Sus scrofa: one gene and its partner. The protein of the gene in region 1 interacts with the protein of each later gene in a pairwise test. Links are inferred from orthologs where the notes say so. Each region holds a gene or a part of one and is shown on either strand. Other genes may lie near its edges.

What was found.
Region 2: the proteins of TOPBP1 (region 1) and KIAA1524 interact in a two-hybrid assay, tested with the Homo sapiens proteins (2 studies listed by BioGRID). The link is inferred for Sus scrofa from reciprocal best matches to the Homo sapiens genes TOPBP1 and CIP2A.

What each region holds. Positions count from the first base shown.
Region 1 is NC_010455.5:74,790,562-74,794,387, forward strand, and holds part of TOPBP1 (DNA topoisomerase 2-binding protein 1), read right to left. Parts: intron 2,925-3,826; coding exon 2,732-2,924; intron 743-2,731; coding exon 522-742; intron 1-521. UniProt on the Homo sapiens protein: Scaffold protein that acts as a key protein-protein adapter in DNA replication and DNA repair. Composed of multiple BRCT domains, which specifically recognize and bind phosphorylated proteins, bringing proteins together into functional combinations.
Region 2 is NC_010455.5:150,950,864-150,954,689, forward strand, and holds part of KIAA1524 (protein CIP2A), read left to right. Parts: intron 1-745; coding exon 746-864; intron 865-3,174; coding exon 3,175-3,370; intron 3,371-3,826.

The DNA of each region.
Region 1 (3,826 bases):
TCAGAAGCAGAGATAAATCTATACATTTAGTATAGGGAAATAATCATATGATATGAAAGAGAAGGGGTGGGGGAAGATGACCTAAATAACAGATAAGAAGCATTTTCTTTTCAAGGTAGAGTCCAAGAAAGAAAAAATAAGGAATTCATAAAGAAACTCATACAACTCCAAACAACAAATTTTGTAGGTATGTGCTCAGTGGAATTTAGAAGACAACAGATGAAAACAGGAGAAAAACCAAGTATTAACTATACAAATACAAAAGGCACTGGAAAAATGGGGGGAAAAATGCCTAATCCTAGATTTCACAATATAAGAATCAAAATATATTTTTCAGTTTACTGATAAATTACCTCAATTTACAATTATTTTTCTGACTTTTTAAATTTAAACTCAAATCAGAAACATCTAGCGAGTTTTTTGTTTGCATGTACAATTCAGAGAACCACAAGGTGCTTATCTATTTTTAAGGAGTTAGCATTACCTAACACAAACAAATAAATAGACTCCTTTCTCATTACCCTGTGCAGCAATTTCTGAATCATGTAAAGGCTCCTGGAAAGGAGAATCCTCCAGTTTTTTAACGTCAACCTGAAGCTCAGAGTATTGTGTGGGACAGCTAGGCCACTGCAAATTGCTGGCAAGTCTTGCTCTCTCTTCCCTGGCTGTAGGGTCATCCCAAATGATCTGTTCATTTTGGGAGGGCTCAGTGTTGATATCAGGTACTGTTTGACGAGACTGCCTAAGGAATAAAAGTGAAAATTTAATAAACAGATAGCCATAACAAAATCCGCTCATAAATTCCCTAAGTTAGATTGTAAATTGGTAGCTCACCTTTATATGTCCATCATCTAACACACAGTAAACATTTGAAAATACTTATGAAACACATTATTTGGACTGAACATGCATACACTTAAAAGTGTTAAAGAAAGGTGAAAAAAATTCTAAAATGATTGCTGCATTTAAAAAAAGGATTTCTGGGAGTTGCCGTTGTGGCTCAGTGGTTAACGAATCCGACTAGGAACCATGAGGTTTCGGGTTCGATCCCTGCCCTCGCTCAGTGGGTTGGTAATCTGGCGTTGCCATGAGCTGTGGCATAGGTGGCAGACTCAGCTCAGATCACAGGTTGCTATGGTTCTGGTGTAGGCCGGCGGCTACAGCTCCAATTAGACCCCTGGCCTGGGAACCTCCACATGTCGAGGGTGCGGCCCTTAAAAAAAAGGCAAAAAAGACAAAAAAAAAAAAAAAGGGATTTCTCGGAGTTCCCATTGTGGCTCAGCGGTAACCAATCTGACTAGTATCCATGAGGATGTGGGTTCAATCCCTGGTCTTGCTCAGTGGGTAAAGGATCTGGTGTTGCTGTGAGCTGTGGTGTAGGTCACAGACGAGGCTCTGAGCTGGTGTGGCTGTGGCTGTGGTGTAGGCTGGCAGCTGTAGATCTGATTTGACCCCAAGCCTGGGAATTTCCATATGCCACGGGTGCAGCCCTAAAAAGCAAAAAGATTTCTCTTGATTATATAGCCTTGGGGAAACATGGTAATATTTAGAAACCTCATCACTTTACTTACCAGTTAATATTTGTATTCTTTTTTTGGCCATGCCTGAGGCATATGGATGTTCCCCAGTCAGGGATCAAACCTGTGCCATGGCAGTAATCAGAGCCATAGCAGTGATCCTTAACCCAATGGAACTCCCAGTAGTTGTATTTTTATCACTTGAAATAATTAAGAAATATAATTACATGGGAAGCACAGTGTTTATAGGCTGCCTTAAAAAAAAAACCACGTCCTTTTGGCTACTGGTAACCAAACCTCCCAGAACCTAAGGTAGACCAGCTATACAGTGGACTAGAGTGAAGTGTATTTTATGGTGTCACGTAACAATTCCACTGGAAAGGTGACAGAATTCCAACTATTTTCCCTCAATGTGTATATACTGAATATTCCCATGTATAAACATATATGGAATCTTAGAAAAATAATTCGCCAAAGCTGATGGCACTCCCAAAGAGTTCATTTGCCTCAAATACCAGGAAGATGGCTCTTTATTCTCAGAGTATATTTATTTATTCAGACTTGACAAAAAAATCTAGGCTCTCTCTGATAAAAAAGACCTGAAGTATATTAAACAGAGAACCATTTTTGCTGAGTACTCAGATAAAGAAATAGCCTCATGAAATACAAGTTAATGTAAGATAAATGCATAGTTCAGCTAATCAAGATATGAGTACCATAACACTCATCATACAATTAGAGATTTTTCTATCAAGGAAAAGATGAAAAAGATGAATTCATGTTATGGAACTTAAGTCACATCACACTAAGATCTGTAATCACCTTCCCTAGAAGATATGTTTATAAAGAAGATTTATAAAGACATTTACAAAGATGCATGTAGTTCCAATAAGAAATCACTGCTTAAATACATACATATATATGTACTTACTGTTAAAAATTAAAATTACTTAACTCCAAAACTAACAGGACTGTCCATTGAATCCAATTCAAACAAGACAAACTAGATCTTAAAATCACTTCTTTCTCAGAGGAGGTAATAAAATGCATTAATCATGCCTTATTGGAAGCAGGTGCTTGATATGGAACAAACCTCTGCTTCCTGTTCTCCAGTAAGAATGCTAGAACTGCTCGGAACAAGGGAAGGAAGGAGGAAAAGCTAGGAAGGCCAGGAGGAAAGAAAAGCTATTCTGCCATCAGTGACAGGTACGGACCTCAGTGCCTCTAGGACTCTACTTCGTCCGCTGCGGGCAGAGCGAGTGCTGTCAGGGGTTGAAGAGGCACTGTTACAACCACTTCTTGAAAGGGAATTCCTCTGCCCCTGGGGTTTCACTATTGAAGTTGCAGACATTATCTCCTGCAGCTGCTTTTGAAAGTTTTCTCTCATCTCCAAGGTCTGTGTCAGAGCTTGAAACAAACATAAGTACACCAATAAAGTTAAGTTTCTCCTTTTTTTAATCTACCCTATTCACAGTAATTATTTCATCTAGATTTGGTTGAACATAAATTTATTAACTTGACATTTACCAAATACTTACTACAGGCTACGGTAATATACTAAGACTATGAATCCTGCAGAACATAACAGCAGCCCTTACTGTGAGGACTGTATAGAAAGTAATCAGCAAGCCCTTTGCAAACACCTTGCTAAGATCTGCAGCCCTCACCCTTTTGTAGAGTTTCGTGCCTCCTTCTGACCCTTCAGGCTCTTAAGTCCGACAGTCACTTGTGATTGATGATTTTCCCCTATGATCCTTGAAAACACAGACCACAACGTATTTATCTTTGGTTTCATTGTAGACTAAACACTTAAGTAGGGGGGGTTCCCGTCGTGGCGCAGTGGTTAACAAATCCGACTAGGAACCATGAGGTTGAGGGTTTGATCCCTGGCCTTGCTCAGTACGTTAAGGATCTGGTGTTGCTGTGAGCTGTGGTGTAGGTCTCAGAAGCGGCTTGGATCTGGTGTTGCTGTGGCTCTGGCATCGGCCGGCGGCTACAGCTCCAATTCGACCCCTAGCCTGGGAACCTCCATATGCCGAGGGAGCAGCCCTAGAAAAGGCAGAAAGACAAAAAAAAAAAAAAAAAAAAGACAAAAAAAAAAAACAAAAAAAACACACACACACAAAAGTAGGTACTAAATATACACTTTTCTAATGGACAGAGTGGGACTAAGTAAACAGGTAAATCATAGACAGGAAAAGCTCTGGAAGAGTAGAATAAAGAAAACAGAGGAGTTCCCGTCGTGGCGCAGTGGTTAGCGAATCCAACTAGGAACCGTGAGGTTGCGGGTTCGGTCCCTGCCCTTGCTC
Region 2 (3,826 bases), about 76 Mb from region 1:
CCCTTCATGGGAGGCATTATGAAGGGTTACCATGAAGGTTTTGGAGATAAAAGCCATCTCTAATGGTTCTGTGGCATTAGATTATACTTGAGTATCTACAAGACACTTATCTTTGTAAAATGTTGATAATTTTAAAGGATTTATATTTTAATATTTTTCTGTTAACAACTTACTATAAAATTGAGTCAAACTGATATTATGTCAATAATTTTTTTTTTCAGAATAGATGATTTGGGCCTAAGTACTAATGTAAAATACTTACTGACATGAAGGAGTTATACTTTAAGTATAGTTGTTTCATTCACTACATTAAAATTTTTTATTGAATTAATTTGAATTTTACCTTTTTTTAACTTTAATTTGGAAATGACTAGCCATTTTTATAGCCCAATTTTCTTTTAAATGGTAGCTAGAAAAATAAAACAATAATTCAGAACATCAGTCAGTTGTGAATGCTGTTTAATCAAGTATTAAATATTAATTTAATCAAAAATATTTGACATGCATTTAGTAGGCACCAAAAGCATTCAAAAATCTTTGCCAGATTTTTTAAGCTAACATTAATATTGATTTTATAGATAATTGTAATGAAGTAAAGGCTAGTAAATATGTTCAAACATCAGGTAGAAAGACTTTAGAACTTGCCTAGAATTATGTAATGATTTAGATCTGTTTACTCACCTTACTCTAAAAGACCTAACATTATCCTTTCTGCTTTTTATTTTTTGGTTTCTGATTTGCTTAGGATCCTCGCCTGATTACTCCTTTGGCTTTTGCTTTAACATCAGATAATAGAGAACAAGTACAGTCTGGATTGGGAATATTATTGGAAGCTGCTCCACTGCCAGATTTTCCGGCCTTAGTGTGAGTTATAGTCAGTGGCAATGTATCTCTTGTGGTGCTGGAGTGTTTGCTGTGTTTCCCTAATAGTCTTCAGCAGAGAGAGATTGGAAAATCAGTGAATTGAAGACTTCATTGTAATAATAATTTTTCAAGTGAAAAAAAATTTCAATTTAAAAAGTTTGATTCCAACAACTCAAAAGACCACATGTAAAGTCTTTTAGGGAATAGCTAGATCCATCCAAGTGATTAAATATGTTATCCAGATGTTACACCTCTCTGTCTGAACACCTCTCTTATTGTTGTAGCTTCCAGACTAATCGTAATCCTGCCAGTTTAGTTTCTCCATAGAAAGTGCTTTTCTTTCCCAATTGTTTAAGTGATAAGTCTAGTGATAAGTCTAGCATCATTCCCATTGACCAGATCTGGGTCATTTGCCAAGGAAGGGATTCCTAAAGAAAATGTTCTTATTATCTGAAGGTGGAATAAATAATAGTCAAGCAGAATTGTCTGCTATACTCATTTTCAAACATTAAGAAAATATTTGCAGTTAGGTTTGAAAAAAATTCAGATTTGGAGCTCTCTGTAAACTGAAAGGTTGACAAAATGTCTAGTAGTGTTCCGCTCTAATTTTAATAAGATTAGGTGGTTTATATAAATGAAATTGCAAAGGTGGTTTGAATGAATTGAGACAGTTGGTAAGTCAGTAAGACATTTGTTCATGTCAGGTCAGCAAACTCTAGACAGCAGACAGGAGCTTGTTTTTGTAAATAAAATTTTATTGGAACAAAACCATACCCATTCATTTATTTTCTTTTTCTTTTTTTTGAAGGGAGTGTGAATGTGTTTTTTTAATGATTTTTATTTTCTCCATTATAGCTGGTTTACAGTGTTCTGGCAATTTCTACTGTACAGCAAAGTGACCCAGTCATACATATATATGTATTCTTTTTCTCACACTATCCCCATTTCATTTTGTCTGTATTGTGTATGTTTACATTCATGCTACAACATTAGGGCTGGTTAGTCGTAACAAAGACTATGGACCCTCAAGCCTAAAATACTTAACTGCCCTGTCCTTTAAGAAAAAGTTTGCCAATCTTTGCTACTTCTATTAACTGAGCAGACTCATTTAAGTAATCATAAATTAAGGGATGAAGAACTGTGGAAAACATGACCTAGAGACCATGAATTGCAATTCCCTTCATTTTATCATATTTTTTAACAAGCGAATGGACAAATAGTGTGTTTCTCAAAGCAAAATAGGAGTCTGTGAAGCTGTTTCATTTTGTGGTAGCTTGCTTGCATCTACTGTGGAAATCTGACATGAAGCAAAATCCCCAGGTGTCAGAGTGGAAAGCTTCAGCTTTGCTGAAGTGGGAGTCTTATCATGTGTCTCTCTGTCTTTGCCATCCCCTCCCCATCATAACTTGTGTTGTGTTATTTTCTCTTTGCACACTATCTCAGATATCCATTTATGTCTATTATGTCCATTTATGCCTCAGTTTATATTATCCTAGTTTAATAATGTGAATTTATATACTGGATGGGTGGGTAGGTAGGTGCATAGCTAGGTTTATTTTGGAGTTTGTTTTTTAAACATTTAACAAATGTTTAAATAACTGGTGAGTCCCAGCTATGTGCCAGGCTCTCTTCTAGGCATTTTGAATATTGCAGTAAATTAGACAGGCGGCCTTCTGTCATGAGATTTGCATTCTAGTTGAGAGACAGGTTTTTTAAAAAATAAGGTTTATAATGCACTTGTTACTAGGGTTGGAAGGCCCTGAGGAAGTGAATCTAAACTGAGACTTGATGATAAGGATTATGCTATGCAGATTTAGAGGGAAGAGTGTTCTAGGCAAATGAACAACTTGTACAAAGGCCCTGAGGCAGAAACAAGATGGTAAAAATGAAGGTCAGGTTGGTGAGACCATCCTGAGTGAGAAAAGAAAAGGGTGAAAGAAAAGGTCAGACCAAGTGATGTTGCCCATGGTAAGAAAGACACCAATAACTTTGTATTTAATTTTTTTATAAATAATCTACCCTCATAAACTAGTTCTAGTGCCTCCAAACCAGAGGTGGAATTGTCATTGTAAAGGGTTGTTAGTACAAAAGAGTTTCCTCTGGCAAATTTAGGATATTTCCCCAAATCCTGCTTCATCATAGATTCCAAGATTATTTCAGAAATATTTGAAGACTTATATTCCCAAAAAAGACCCATTCTAAATTATGGGTCCCATCATTAGTTAGTCCCTGTACTAACTCTGCCTTTTGCTCTATTTTTATATAATTATTTCTCTCTCTCTTTTTTTTTTGATTTTAATTCCAATTCAGACTTGGAGAAAGTATAGCAGCAAACAATGCCTATAGGCAACAGGAAACAGAACATATGCCCAGAAGAATGCCTTTGCAATCATTAAATCACAGTTTTCCAGCATCAGTAAAATGTTTAACTCCTCCAGTTTTGAAAGATAGAGTTCCTGGATTGAACATTGAGGAATTAATAGAGAAACTTCAGTCTGGAGTTGTGGTGAGTGATAGATAGCCATTATAAATGAGATTCTGCCTGGTACATACCAACTAAATATCAGCCCTTATTATAACATTTATTTAAATAAATTTAGATGCAGATTTGATCACTGAAACTTGATCTTTTAATATCAAAAGTAACAATATTCTGTAAAGTTTGAAAAGAGCAAAAAAATCTATCATAAAATTCCAACATTTTAACATAGCAATCCATCTTCCAAGCCTATGCTCCCACCACCATCGCATGGCCCCCAGCTTAAAAAATATACTTTCAAATTCCCACAGACATGTTAGATCTTACCCAAATCTTCTTGTGCAATAGCCAGGTTAGTGAGTGACCTACCTAATATGACATTCATTTTTTTTCTTTGTTACAAATTAAGTTTTAATGATTTAGTTACACAGTAGGCATTTATTTTTTGTTGTTGTTGAGTGTTAACTATTTCTGATTTTTTCC